Ovis aries: one gene and its partners. The protein of the gene in region 1 purifies or fractionates together with the protein of each later gene. This does not show direct contact. Links are inferred from orthologs where the notes say so. Each region holds a gene or a part of one and is shown in the gene's direction. Other genes may lie near its edges.

Region 1 (5,129 bases):
TGCATTTGCAATGCGCTTATTTTCAGGTCTCCAGCTACGCCACGCTGTTCGCTCAGGCGCTACCACGCGATGCCCACTCCACGCCCTACTACTACGCCCGGCCTCAGACCCTGCCGCTGAACTACCAGGAGCGCAGCGCCCCGTCGGCCCAGAGCTCGGGCAGCCTGGGGAGCAGCGGCATCAGCAGCATCGGTGTGCACACCCTCAACGGCCCGACCCCGCCGCCCCCGTCCCTGCTGCCGGGGTAAGCTGGCGCTCGCGCGGGTCCCCCGCGGTGGAGGCGGGCGCGGCCTTGCTCTCAGTCCAGCATTCAGTCTTCAGAGCCTCGTGCGTGTCCGGGGTGTCTCGGCCCTGGGTCTGACGTGCTCTGGTGGGAGTCAGCTGTCTAAGCACACCCTCCGGGTCGCTCCCGTCTGCGTTGACCGTTGGGTCGGCTGCCTCCTGACTGGTAACGCAGCTGCTGCGGCAGGGCCGGCTCGCGGGGAGGTGTGCGGTGCCTTGGTTGGTGGGAACTGGGAGTGGGCTGGCGCAGCCACCTTCAGACGGTGTTTCCCTCGTGGGCGGGGCCCGGCGACGCGCCTGTCACTGGGTCAGTCAGGTGAAAGTTTGTTGGAGTTACTGGAAGACAGAACGTGTGTCCAGACACGGGGATTACAGACAGAGCCTAGGACTTTATAAAGACAGCACCATGTACCCCCAAATCTAATCTCAGACTCCCATTCTGGCTGAAGGAGTCTGGCTGAAACACACTTTCTTGTTTTCGCCTTTAATATAAGTAGTTGAAATAATTACTGTCATGATATTGAAAAAGCGGCATAGAGAACCGTGAACTGAAGTGGTCGTTTAGACTTTCTCTTAAATTTGGAACTGTACTCAGAACCATCGTCGGATCAGTGTCCCCCCTGCCGGGGGCGGGCTGGGGGAAGGGCTGTCTCCGGGTCCTTGTGGAACTCCCTGGTGGGCTGCCCGCGGGCGTCACTGAGCGCCGTCCTGACGGGGGTGGCCTCTCCCTGCGGTTGATGTTGCTGTGTGTGACGCTGGTTGCAGATCCCACTGTTTGCGTCAAGTGCTGTGAAGGCTGAGAGATAGACAGGGCAGGGGGCGGTGTCATCGGTTTTTACTCAGCAAACGTGGATGGGTTTCCAGGGTAAAATCAGCAGTGAACCCTAGAGTGCTCTGAGCTGGAAGTGTATGTGGGTGTTTGCAGGCACAGCCGGGTCGGCCTGTGACAGAGCCGGGAGGGCTGTGCAGGAGGCAGGAGCCCGGGGGCCGCAGTCGGGGAGGGACAGCCGCGCGGGTCTCGGGCTCACCCGGGCCAGTGGCTCAGTGTGGTGACTCAGGGAGCGTGTCTGCAGCGTCTCAGCGACCTCTGTGACTAGCCCGGCGTGCGGACCCAGCAGGCACCTCCTCTTTTCAGACAGTCTCACCCGGGCCCAGGGACGGGCGACTGTCTCCGGCAGCAGCTGGGCGCCCGTCTGGCATGGACGTTGACTGCAAGCCAGCCTTCCTTACAAACCACTACCTCCAAAGGCGTCCCCAGTGCGACTTCCCGCAGCGTGACTCGGCCACGGAGAGACGGGGATGCAGGCGGTGAGTGAGGACGGGCTCTGGGTTTTCCGGGGTTTGCAGCCGACAGTGTCCCGTGCGCCCCGTGGGGGTGCCTGTGTTGGCCTTGTCACCCAGCCCCACCTGCGCTCACGACTGCCGGGCGTGGCTCTGGGTGTGCACCCTCCTCCTCCTCCCGGCCGGCCTGTTTCTGTTTATCTGGTGTTTGTGGAGGGTCGCCCCGTGCTGGGGCGATATTACCTGGCTGTGCTCGGACGGGGCCTCTCCCACTGGAACCTCGCCTCTCTGGGCCTTGCCTTCTTGTGATATTGGGTGACAGCCACGCTCTGAGCTGGCCTTTGTTCCAGGGTTTGTGGGGCTCGTAAACCCTCTCCGGTGTGTTAATGCCTGTGGCCTGGTGGGGATGGAGCCCGGCTTACACGCCTGCTGCGTGGTCAGTCAGGTCTCTGACACCACATGAAGCGGTTACCCACCCCTCTGGGATTGGCTTGTGCTGCCCCTGGATCATGTGTTAAACTCCCGTGGATTGCTTTCTCTTTGAAAAAAGGGCTTTTGGAAGACAAACCACATGCTCTCCAGATGCTCTTCAGAAAGTCCGTGTTTTTAAAAAATATAACTTCATATTCTTTTCCATCTTAAACTCAGTTAGCTTTTAAGTTTTGTTCTGGTTGCGAACACATCACCTGGGGCGAGCTGTGTCGAGCAGTTCACCGCACGGAAACCGCGTTGCAGGTGCTGTGGAGGTCACCGAGGCGGCCCTCGTCAGAGACATCCTGTACGTCTTCCAGGGCATAGACGGCAGGAACATCAAGATGAGCAGCGCTGACAACTGTTACAAAGTGGAGGGGAAGGTACGGTGCCCTGACCCGCTGCAGCCCTCACGAGTCAGGGTGACTGTCCCCAGGGCCAGGTGGGAGCCGCTGGTCTGGGAGGTGCTGCTCGTTGACGCGGGTGGTCTGCAGGCGAGGTCCTGGCCCCCGTACCGGCTCGTCCTCCGTGCTCACCTCCTCCCTCCTGTGGTGCCGGTGCCAGGCTTACCTGCCGGACTGCTGTCCTGGCATCTGTGCTCCGACACAGGTCCCACGTGAGGCGCTCTCGCCCAGTTTTGCTTCCTCCGGAGCCTGCCTTTCTCACAGTCCATCTTGCTGACGATCTGTCCTTCTGCGTCTCTTGGCTGAGGCTCAGGCCGCTGGCCTCACAGACGGCCCTTGCCACGCCGGGCCCTCCTGGGGGTGGCGGCCCTCCCGCCTGACGCGTTGTCTGCGCCAGGGCGCGGCCTGTGTCCCAGGCCTCACTGTCCTCATGTCAGGGTGGTGTGTTGGTGATCTTTAAGTTTCTTGTGTTGAAGCCTGAGAATCACAAACATAAAAGTGCAAGTGGTTGGAAAAAAAGTAATAAAATTCCAGCGTTAAAAGCAGTTTTTTAGCTGTGGACGTGTTTGCTTTTTAGGCAAACCTGAACAAGTCCTTGCGGGATACGGCTATGAGACTGGCCGAGCTGGGGTGGCTGCACAACAAGATCAGAAAGTACACGGACCAGAGGAGCCTGGACCGCTCGTTTGGGCTTGTCGGCCAGGTGTGTGCTTCGGTAGCGAGACGCCTGGGGATTCGGGCGGCGCTCGCCTCAGGAAGCGCTTCGTCTCCTTAGAACCTCACGTGAAAGTCATCCTGAGGCGGGTCCTTTTTACATGAAGCAGGTTTGGTATGATGCACTTTGTCAGCCACGGTCCTCTCAAGAAAATAGAAAGCACAGTAAATATTGACACAGGTGATCGACCAGGAAACTTCTAATGTTTAACGAGTGTTTAGGAACGCTGACCTGTCTGAGTCACTTTACGTATTTTAATGACTTCCCTTTGACCTAAAATTCTCTCAGTTAAACTTTGTTTAATTGAAGGACAGTTGGTTTACAGTGTCGTGTGTGAAGTGTGTGTCAAAGTGACTCGGGTGTGTGCGTGTGCGTGTGTGTGTGCGTGTGTGCGTGTGCGTGTGTGTGTGTGCGCGTGTGTATGCGTGTGCGTGTGCATGCGTGTGCGTGTGCGTGTGTGCGTGTGTGTGTGTGTGTGCGCTAAGTTGCTTCTGTCGTGTCCGACTCAGCGTGACCCCACGGACTGCAGCCCGCCAGGCTCCTCTGTCCATGGGGTTTCGCAGGCAGGAGCACTGGAGTGGGGTGCCATTCCCCCCTTCAGGGGGTCTCCCCGACTTTGCTGTTCACCTGAAGCTGACGTGGCATTGTACATCAACGGTACTTCCATGAGCCAGAGTAAGAGGCATATAGCTAAAAATACAGCATCAGTGTGTGGAGGGAGGAAACGCCCTGCAGGTTATGAGCACGGCGCTGCGCCTCCGCTGTGCTCCTGCAAAGCCCGTGCTGAGACGGCCCCTGACACCGTTGAGTCCGTGTGTTGAGGTGGTTCACCTGCACGAGCTCTGTGGACAGAAGCAGGCGCGTCTGAGGGCCGTCCTTCGCAGCTGGGTGGCGCCTGTCCTGAGCGCAGCGACCACGACCTGCCTCTCTTTCCACAGAGCTTCTGCGCGGCCTTGCACCAGGAACTCAAGGAGTACTACCGGCTGCTCTCCGTCCTGCACTCCCAGGTAAGCCCTTGTTTTTATTTCATCACGATCTGAAATGTCACAGAATTCCACTCTCCAGAATCCCTGCATTTCCTCCTACGCTAATTTTAAGGTGTGATGGTCCTGGTGGAAGGGTTGGGCCCCTGTAGAGCTGTGGTGTGTCCTGGAGTCAGCTTGCGGCTCGCTTTCAGGGTCCTGTCGGCCTGAGGCAGACCTCCTGTATCTTGAAGGAGCTGTCCTCTCCCAGAGGCCCTCTGTCTCGTTTACGTGAGGATCACCCCTTCCCCGGGACTTGACGTGGGTTAAGACGTGGGTTAGGGCTCCTGGGTGGCTGTACTCAGCCGTTCTTTTGTTCTCGTTTTTCAGCTGCAGCTGGAGGACGATCAGGGTGTGAATTTGGGCTTCGAGAGCAGCTTGACGCTCCGGCGCCTCCTGGTGTGGACGTATGACCCCAAGATAAGACTAAAGACCCTGGCGGCCCTGGTGGACCACTGCCAAGGTCATTCTGCGCGGTTTCAAGGCAGCTGTAGGGAGGGTCACTGAGGCCTGACTCTGTGTCTGCCCTGTATGCATGGCAGCCGGAAGGGTGCTACCAAAGACAGGTGGATAGACTTGGACTTCCAGGGGGAGAGCCCGTGGGCCAGGGTTTACGCTCGTGGCGCTCAGGACCTCCCTGAGATGAAGTAGGCGTGGGGGTGTGGTCCCCTGAGGCCTCTTGTGCTCCGGAGACGCGTCTGCCCTTACTCTGCGGCCTCTCCTCGGCCTCCCCCGCCCCCCCTTGGCCCCAGGTCTGGCTCAGCAGCCGTGTTGCTCGCCCCCGTGCGTGCGTCTGCCTGGGCCTCTCCCACCTCCAGCCTGGGGCTTGGCGCTCTGCGCAGCGCGCATGCTTTCCTGGCCGGGGGCCCCTGGCCTCTTCCTCCTCGCTTTGTCTCTGCGCCTCGGCCTCAGCGTTTGTGTTCACGGTGGCTTCTGTGTCCCCAGGAAGGAAGG
Region 2 (5,129 bases), on another chromosome or scaffold:
GCTGTTCTTTCCTCATCTCCCCAGAAGCCTTTCTGAGCTGATAAGGCAGGATCCACAGTTTAAGGGAAGAATCTGACTCCGGGGAGCAAAACTCTGTGTTTTCGGGTCACAGAGGAAGCGAGTGCCGGGGCCCCTCCTAACATGCATCCCCCTCCATAGAAACCAGAGGTGTCTACACCCTCGACCTATCCGGCGAGCTCCCCGCGGCTCTAGAGCAGATCTTTGAGAGCCAGAAGGGCTGTGACCTGTTCATCAGGGTGAAGGTGCGTGAGGAGGACGAGCTGGCCATCTGCGCCCACAAGCTGATCCTGTCCACCAACCCCGAGGCCCATGGCCTGTGGAAGGAGCCGGGCAGTAGGGTCACCATGGAGGTGGATGCTGAGTGTGTGCCCACCGTTAAGGACTTCATCAGGTGAGTGGCCTCGGGGCCGGGCCCAGGGACCGGGCAGCGTCCCTGCCAAAGGAAAACCCCAGGGACGAGGGACGCGACACCAACCGCAGCTGTGCTCACCTGAACACACGCGAGGGCAACCACATACGTGCTCTCTCACTTGTGCGCACACATGCTCACACACCCACACGTGTGCACACTCACTTTCACAGCCACACGTCCTCACCTTTGCACACACATTCTTATGTATTCTTTCCACAGGGACTGTGAGAAATGGGTCAGCCCTCACACGTACACACACACACACACACGCACACCACACCTGTCTCTCGGGTGTCATAAGCACCCAAAAAAACTATCAAAGTCATTCTTCCTCTTTTCACCTCACTGATCTGCTCCTGCAAAAGTTTTTTTTAAAGAAACAGGAATCCAAGTCTGCTGCCGGAAGAAAGTGGGGAGAAAATTCCCAGGTGGCACCGTCCAGGCGGCAGTCTAACCAGCGGGCCATCCACGCTGGGAGCCCATCTCCCAGTTGAGAGTGGCCCCCGAGGCCCCTTCCCCTGCAGACCATCCTGCTGGGGGGTCTCTATGTCACCACATCGGGCGGGCTTTCCAGGGACTGGCGTTCTGGGAGCATCAACTTAAAGAGAGAACCAAGTGTATGAAAAGCTGTTCCCTCTCATGACCCAAAGTTGTAGCTAGCCGAAAGTGACATTTAAGAGGAAACAGCAAATGGCAGTTTAAAAAGATTAAATGGCGTCTTTTCAGCCGAGGATGAGAGCTTGGCCGCTGTCCTGCGCCCCTCCCAGCAGGGCTGAGGTCTGTGATGCGTCTGTGCCTGGTCCCAGCCTCTCGGCAGTCACCGCCCTCGGTCAGAGTCAGCGGTTCTCTGGACTGTCTAGCCATGTGCTCCAGCTTGCTCTCTCTGTCTCTCTCTGCCTTCCTGTCTCCTTCTGCCTCTCACTCCATCTCTATCTTCCTGTTGCCCTGTATCTTTGTGTCTCTCGCTCCCTCCCTCTCTCTCTGTCTCTCTCCCTCCTCTAAGGCAGAGAGGCAGCAATGAGCCCCACCCAGGCCCTAGAGGGTCTCTGGAGACCCTGGTTCACTGCCTACACCACCCCCCACTCCCCTTCCCTCTGCCCGGCAGCCCCCACGTGGTGCAGATGACCATTTTGGTTCTCGAGTTCACATTCAGCAACAGAATCACAGGATGTACTGAGCACATCAGGGCAGAGCGGCAGGTGGGACGAGGACCGGCCCACCCTTGCTGCTGCCACTGGACTCTGTGGGGTCCCGGCTCCTTTCTGGGCACCCGAGGCTCCGTGTTCAAGTGATGGGGAAGCCAGCAAGTCTGAGGCTCCCTGGAAGGCTCGTCATTCGAGAGAAGTGGTGGACAGAGTTTGGTTCTTTCCAAAGCAGGGCCCCATTCACCATCTCCCAGGAGACGGCAGGGGCCATTGCCTGGCGTTTCCCCTCCCAGCAGGCTCCCTCCACACGTGTCTTCATGAGCAAAGTGCCTCCTGGTGGCACACTGAGTTACACGGTGGGTGGCATAGACTGGGTGCCACCCACAGGGCTCACAGCTGGCAGGGATGGCAGACAGGAGGTGACCCATGATGATGCCCATGTCATGGGGGCACCAGACAGGTGCTGGGGCAGAGGGGCACCCATGGGCACCCAGTGGGGAAATCAAGAGTTCTGCCCAGGGGTGTGACAGGGGAGAGGGAAGGGCAGAGCCCCGGATGGCCAGCGGGTCCTGGTGTCGGGGCCCAGCCCATGAAGATGACGGTGATGATGGAGGAGGTGGCGGGACCGTCCCCATCAGTGAGGACGAAGCAACATCCTCAGGGTGTCTGGGGTCCGCCCAGCTGCCTATGCACTTGGCTCTCGGCCCACATAGCTTGGAATGGGGGTTGACTCAGGAGATAAGTCAGGGGGCTCCAAATGCCCCCTGAAATAGCTGGCACCCCGGGGATCAGCAGTCAGCCAGACACCTGCACCGGGGCACACCTGTCGTCCTTCGGGAGAAGGGGTGTAGCCAGGCGTCAGCCCTCGTCTCCCCTCAGGTACCTCTACTCCCGGAGGATCGATGTGTCTCTGTCGTCAGTGAAGTGTTTGCACAAGCTCGCCTCTGCCTACCAGGCCGAGCAGCTGCAGAGCTACTGCGGGCACCTCTTTGCCATCCTCATCCCCCAGGACCCCTCTTTCCGGACACCCCTGGAGCTCTACGCCTACGCCCTGGCCACCCGGGACCCCGTGCTGGAGGAGATCTGCGTGCAGTTCCTGGCCTGGAACTTCGGGGCCCTGACGCAGGCCGAGGCCTGGCTGAGCGTCCCCCCGGGCCTGCTCCAAGACCTGCTCTCCAGGACCGAACTAGTGGTGCCCAGCGAGCTGGTCCTGCTGCGGGCTGTGGACGAGTGGAGCCGGGAGAGGAGCACCTCCCACAAGGAAGTGGAGGGCTTGGTGGAGAAGGTGCGGTTCCCCATGATGCCACCCCGGGACCTCTTCTCGCTGCAGTTTAACCTGTCCCTGTACTGGAGTCACGAGGCGCTCCTCCAGAAGAAGATACTACAGGCCCTGGAGTTCCACACCGTGCCCTTCGAGCTGCTGGCTCAGTACTGGGGCCTGAACCTCACCGAGGACGCCTACCAGCCCCGGCTTTATACCTCGCCCACCTGGAGCGAGTCTGTGATGAGCTCCAGTTACAACCCCTACCGGTCCTTCCAGACGCCCCAGCACCCCAGCTTCCTCTTCCAGGCCAGTTCCGTCTCCTGGTCTTTAGTCTACCTCCCCACCCTCCAGAGCTGCTGGAACTACGGGTTCTCGTGCTCCTCCGATGACCCCCCACTCCTGGCTCTCTCCAAGTCCAGCTACTCCAGTCCCACCATTGGCTATGAAAACCGGGCCCTGCTGCACTGTGAGGGGAGCTTTGTGGCAGACGTCATCGACTTCAAGGGCTGGAAGGCCCTGATCCCCAGTGCCCTGGGTACCAACAGCTCCAGGAGCACTTCCCTCTTCCCCTGCCCGGCAGGGCTCTTCAGCAGGTTCCAAGTCGTCATCCGTCCCTTCTACCTGACCAACTCCACGGGCATGGACTAGACTCGAGGCTGGAGGTCGGGGTGGGCAGGAGCCCAGAGGCTGGGCACCTTCCTCCCCTCCACATCCTCTCTGCAGCCACCTCCAACCACCGGCCACCAGGTGGCCCCCCTGCTTCCCTTGATCTCTCTGAGCTTACGGAAATTACTGGAAGACTTCAGCTACTGCAGACTTCCCTGGTGGCTCAGATGGTAAAGAATCTGCCCACAATGTAGGAGACCTGGGTTCAACCCCTGTGTTGGGAGGATCCCCTGGAGAAGGGAATAGCAACCCACTCCAGTATTCTTGCCTGGAGAATCCCATGGACAGAGGAGCCTGGCAGGCTACAGTCCACGGAGTCTCAGAGTCAGAGACAACTTGTTGCAAAGAGTTGGACACAACTGAGCATCTAACACTTCCTTCCTTCCTTCAACTAGTGCACTCACAAGCTGAGAACTCCCACTTCAACTGCACAGCTAATTTGTTGGGAAGCAATGAGATGTGAGCCAGGAGCTGTTGGGTTTCCTACCTGGCCTTTCACTTTCTCCACCCTCTGCTGTCCCTTATCTGAGATCATTAAAATTGTACTGTGGTTCCCCCAAGTTCTCTTGTTCACGCAGAATGGGCTGATGAGTCCATAGGGTGTTGAGACAGAGGATGATGCGCTAGGCCCTGGGATCCAGTAATGAGCCAGTGTGGTCCCTTCCCCGTGAAGCTGCTGTGGTCTTGTAGGTGAGACAGGCCATTACAAGTAAGCAAACACTTGGGGTGAGGACCAGCGGGAATAATGGGTGATGGAAACCAGAGGAAGGAAGGTGGGAGGCACGGGCTGGAGCTACTTTAGTGGATCTCAGTGGAGAAATGAAGCGTGCGAGGCAGCAGGCGTGGGGGAAATGGCAGGAGGGTGTGTGTGTTCCAGGGAGAAGGATCAGTAGGTGATCGGAATCTTGGCCCCATCAATCTTCCCACTTGTGTACAGGGAAGGGGGCAGAGATTCTCGTCCCAGCATTGTTTGTAGAAGTGGAAATTTGCAAAGAACGTAGAAGGCCACCAATGGGGTGCTTGAGCACAAATAAAGGACACCCACAATGTGGAGGGTCAGGCAGAAGGGTATACGGAAAGGAGACCGGAGGACCCACGGAATCTAGGGCAAGGCAAGGGAACCGGACCTGGGGTCCCACAGGGACATTGTGTTAGAATGCCACCACCAGGTTCTGGGCGCTGGAGGCTGCCCCTGCTGCAAGCGGGGCAAGAATTCTAAACTGTCCCCGCTTCTTTGTGATACACACGCTCCAGGCACCAGGCCCCAGTGGAAGCATCTGGTTGGCCAGGCCCAGGCCACGTGCCCTTCCCCCTGGCCAGGGTCTGAGAGAACAAGCACCTGGACTGTTCTGGCCTTGAGAAGGGAGGCAGCACTGGACTCACCCAACGGGAGGGAGATCCAGAAGCTGGGCAGCCAGGACGGCAGCTGTCCCCACTACACACGCCTCTTCCCCTCTAGCCCTGCGAAAACAAGAGCAGGGACACACGAAGCCTGCCCCTGCCCCCATGCAGCTTCACCCTTTCCCAGAAGGCGCCCCTAGCCCCAGCTCCCTCCCAGGGTCCAGGCCCACCATCTTGGGCACCTCTATGGTGGTCCTTTGACATCATAAAAATCTACCAC
Region 3 (4,749 bases), on another chromosome or scaffold:
AAGACAACAGATATCTGCAGTACTCATATAACCAATAGAGGATTAGATTATGTAAAGAACTGTTATGAATAATTTCTTTTAAGATATTCAATAGAACAATAGTTTAAAAACATAGACAAGCATTTCACTGAAGAATAGTATATGAACATAGGGAAAGTTGCTCAGCCCTGCAAATTAACCAGAGAACTGAAAATGGAATTGGTTACCATTTCACACCCAGTAGATGGAAACACATTTGTAAAAAGTCTGGCAACACCAAGTCTTGGTGTGGATGTAGAGCTAGAGGAACTCTTCTTATTCTGATGATGAGCATGTCCATTAATACTACAACTTCGGAAAATAATTTCTATTATTTTGTAAGTTTGAACAGTGTACCTTTCGATCATACCTGTGACTCAACACATCTTGGATATATTATCCACATAAATTGGCACATGTGGGTTGGAAGACATATACATTATTGTTACAACATTTTAATAATAAACACTTAAAAAAACAGTTCAATTTGACAGAAGAATGTACACTAGTACAGATCAATGAATTATAGATAAATAGAATATGACCTTGAAAACATGATACTGGATTATTTTTAACTGTATACTACTCAAGGCTACATAGGATATGGTACCCTTTTTGTAATGCTCAAAAGCAAGCATAACAAAAATACATTGACTACAGATTCTATGTTATGCAAAAATATATAAATACATATATATTTTTTAGAAAACATTTCTTTGCTCAAACAAATTCCAGAGAGTAGTGACTTCTTTCTTGGGCTTCTCTCAAGAGTTAAGTGAGGAGCACCACAGGAAGCTTCTGTGATTTTCATTATGTTCTAGCCCATAATTTCTGTGGCAGGTGACACACAGATACTCCTTTTATTGTTACATTTCATAATTTTTATGTCTTCTCTTTCTTTTTGGCCATGCAACATGGCTTGTGGGATCTTAGTTCCTAAACCAGGGGTTGAACCCTAGCCATAGAAGTGAAAGCCCAGAGCCCTAACCACCGGGCCACCTGGGAATTCCTACTCTTATGGTTTTGCAGGCATGACTTAACTGCATTTTACTGAGTAAACCTCTGTTATAAATAGGCTCTTTGCATTCTGCTGGAAGTTTGTTTGTTTTTTTTCAATAGCTTAAACGTTGATAATAGTTAAACATTGTAACCTAGAGCATTGTCTGTGTTTCATTGTAATATAAACCTATATCTTTTCCTTAATGATGATTTCTATATTAAGGAATGTAGTGTAATGGGAGTTCCGGAGGTAGACAGCTGGGTTTATATCCTAGCTCTAACATATACTAGTTGTGTGACTTTGGTTGAGTTACAACTTCTCTGTGATTCAGTTACATGTGTAAAATAGAGGTAGTAATTCTAAGATTAAATGAGTTCTTACATCTGAAGTAGAAGACACAGAGCCTAGCACATAGTAAATAAATACTAGGTGCAGTGGTATTTTTACTATTATAATAATTGTTAATAGTAACATGAAATAATAAGAGTATAGTCATTTTCTTGAGTGATTCTAGAATTGGTAAAACTGTTCTAATTCTAATAAATATTATATGTTTTCCCCTAGAGAAGCATGCCATAGGGACATTGTGAATTTGCAAGTGGAGATGATTAAACAGTTTCATATGCAATTGGTATGTATTGACATGTTTTATTGTAAGTGAGCATAGCTGTGGATCTAAAAAGTCCATGAAAGGGTGACGTATTCTTACTTGGTTATATCTAATTGCTAAGAAATAAAAGAGCGTTTTAGAAATTTAGTAAATAAAATAGATTTTAACTAGTCACCCTTCTTTATAACCTATGATAGTTAAGGCTACTTTTTTCACAGCTTTTTTTTTTTTTTTGGCTGTAAGTAAACAAAAACCTTTCCAAATGTGGAAATGTAAACTTTCCAAATACGTAAATTTTACCAGTGCTCTTTCATTTATATTAGCAAAGTAGTAAGGGTGGTTAAATTGAAAAAAAAATTACTCAGTTAACTGAACATGAGAAAAATGATAGCTGAAAATGTGTAAAACAATGTCAAATAAATGTGAAATGCCAGTAATTAAAAAAAATTTTTTCCCCCTTTTCTAGAATGAAATGCACTCTTTGTTGGAAAGATACTCAGTGAATGAAGGTTTAGTGGCAGAAATTGAAAGACTACGAGAAGAAAACAAAAGACTGCGGGCACACTTTTGAAATTTCAGTGAATACTTTGATGTTTTGTAATTTGGGAAGGTTCTGACAACACAGAACTACATGAAATCAGTATTGTTTCCATAACCTCTGGGAGAAAAAGTGTTTTTCAGTCAAAGGGTGATGGGATTTTATACCATTCACTATTTCATCTTTTCTGTCAAATATATTTATATTTTTATATTAAAAACTGTACACTATGTCGTCCGCCTAAAAGGAAAGCCAACAGAATCTTTATTTTATGAAAGCTTTAGCTATACACTAAGTGCCCTTTTTCATGAAAAAATTGTGCAAAAAAATAGGTTATGTATGTTTTTTAATCATCCTTTCTAAACATAATATTTTTGGTTGACAGTTGCCTTCCAAATTTTTTTGGATGTTTAATGATTAAAGAGTTTGATATACCTTCTATTTTTATGGAGAAAGTAAGTTTAATTGATGTTTTGTGTTTCTAAGCAATTGACTAATAAAACACAAAGTTGGTTAGTAATTATTTTGTTAACTTGGTGAAGTCAAGTATAACTATTATTTATTACTTGTACATTTGATAAGAAAATTTTCAGATTTTGAATTGCACAGATCACATTATATCTATTGCATTATTCTTTTATACTTCTAACTAATCTCTACTCTGGTTGATATTTTGTAGTTAATTTTACCTATGAAAACTTTTAAGGGTTTATAAGACTCAACCAGAACTGTGTATCTGCTTATTTCATTAATTAACAGCATAAAATTTATACTATAATGTTTCAGTCAATATAATTCCACTTAATAATTAGTGAAAATTTCATATTATACTAAGTATTACAGTATTAGTCCATTTTTTCTCCTCCTAAATGAGGTATGGTTTATTTTGTTTTGTGGTTTATATCATTAACTTCCTTTAATTCTTTTTTGTGCTGTGTGTAATACTTTTATATTATTGACCCACTATAAAATAAAAAAAAATTTTTTTTAAAACAGGAAGGTTAATTGTCAAAAGAATATACACCTCTGACAATATATGAATGTTAACATGCTATGATCTACATTTTTAGTGGTATAAGATTAAGAGGGCAGCTGGCTTATTTACCTCTTATAGTCTCTTGTCCCAGAGATTTAAACTATACCTTGTATATAGCACTCCTGCTCAATTTTAACTTTTGAGATGAAAGTATTTACTAAAATAAAAAAGAAGTCTAGCTGGATTACTAACTTTTTCCTTCCAGGTGATGAAAGATTTTAAGGATACATTTAGTAAGTGTAAAATACTAATAATTATTTCAAGAAATAAATTACTTTGTCTTAGTGGAATACATTTGTATTAAAGCATAAGGGAGCTTCCCAGGTGGCACCAGTGGTAAAGAACCCACCTCCCAGTACAGGAGACATGAGACCCAGGTTCAATCCATGAGGCAGGAAGATCCCCTGGAGGAGGGCATGGCAACCCACTGCAGTATTCTTGCCTGGAGAATCCCATGGATAGAGGAGTCTGGTAGACGGCAATCCATAGGGTCACAGAGAGTTGGAGACACTGAAGTGACTTAGCACACAAAGCATAAAGGGATGCTAATATAATCTTTTTTTCCTGACAGGTAATGAAAGCATTATGGCTTGTAACAAGTTTTGTCACATATCATTATCAAACAGATTTAGAAGACATAAAAATGTGTTTTGCGTTATCCGTTAGTATTTGCCTGTTGCCTTTTTCTATAAATGCACATAATGTATATTAAAAGAAGTTAGATAAATATAATAATTTTGGTAACCTTATGCATAAGATGAAACATTTTTTGTCATGGAATTTAAAAGCTAAATAAGTAAAAAAAAGTTAAATTTTAAATGGTAAAAATGGGAAATCAGAAGTTGAATTTTAGCCTCTAGCCAAAATAGAATAATAAGAGATGAAATCAGAAATTGAATTTTAGCCTCTAGCCAAAATAGAATAATAGGAGATTAGATTTACACAATGCAACTAAATTTTAAGAAGACACAAAATACTCGAAATAGTTTTCAAATACTGAATTTTTAAAAATAAACTCAACTTGGAATTCTTTACCTAGAGAAAATATCTTTAAAAGTGAAAATTAAAACTTCTTCAGACCTAGAAAGGTTCAAAGAATTGATCACAAGCTAACTTTTGCCCTACAGGAAACATTAAAAGTACCAGATAGAAATCTGCTTCTATGCAAAGGAGTGAAGAGCAACAAAAATGGTAAATATGTGAACAAATATAAGGCCTTTTTCGCCCCTTATTTTAAATTATCTTCAAAGGGTAGCGGACTATTTAAAACAAAAATAATAACAATGAATTATGTGGTTAACATATGTAAAGTGAAATGCCTGACAAGAGCACCTCTCTTCAAGGGTGGGAGGAGGGAAATGACAGTGCGCTGCTCTGAGGTTCTTACCTGGGAAGCAGAGTGCTCCCTGGAGGTAGGGTGCTGCAAGCTGAACGTGTGTGCTGTGAACCCCAAAGTAAACGCAAGCAAAACTGGTCTAGTTAGCAAATCAACAAAGGTGATACAGTGTAGCCATTAAAAAATCCAAAAGAAGCAAAGAAAAGAACAA

What was found. Proteins that work in one complex are often made in the same cells at the same time.
Region 2: the proteins of TUBGCP3 (region 1) and LGALS3BP purify together in Homo sapiens (affinity purification with mass spectrometry; 4 studies listed by BioGRID and IntAct, counting the BioPlex papers as one, with this or other methods). This does not show direct contact. The link is inferred for Ovis aries from reciprocal best matches to the Homo sapiens genes TUBGCP3 and LGALS3BP.
Region 3: the proteins of TUBGCP3 (region 1) and NEDD1 purify together in Homo sapiens (affinity purification with mass spectrometry; 3 studies listed by BioGRID and IntAct, with this or other methods). This does not show direct contact. The link is inferred for Ovis aries from reciprocal best matches to the Homo sapiens genes TUBGCP3 and NEDD1.

What each region holds. Positions count from the first base shown.
Region 1 is NC_056063.1:85,558,399-85,563,527, reverse strand, and holds part of TUBGCP3 (gamma-tubulin complex component 3), read left to right. Parts: intron 1-26; coding exon 27-244; intron 245-1,417; coding exon 1,418-1,590; intron 1,591-2,298; coding exon 2,299-2,417; intron 2,418-3,015; coding exon 3,016-3,141; intron 3,142-4,091; coding exon 4,092-4,160; intron 4,161-4,505; coding exon 4,506-4,638; intron 4,639-5,120; coding exon 5,121-5,129. UniProt on the Homo sapiens protein: Component of the gamma-tubulin ring complex (gTuRC) which mediates microtubule nucleation.
Region 2 is NC_056064.1:52,761,993-52,767,121, forward strand, and holds the end of LGALS3BP (galectin-3-binding protein), read left to right. Parts: intron 1-159; coding exon 160-412; intron 413-2,457; coding exon 2,458-3,490; 3' UTR 3,491-4,068; downstream 4,069-5,129.
Region 3 is NC_056056.1:166,700,816-166,705,564, forward strand, and holds the end of NEDD1 (protein NEDD1), read left to right. Parts: intron 1-1,582; coding exon 1,583-1,649; intron 1,650-2,094; coding exon 2,095-2,199; 3' UTR 2,200-3,159; downstream 3,160-4,749. UniProt on the Homo sapiens protein: Required for mitosis progression. Promotes the nucleation of microtubules from the spindle.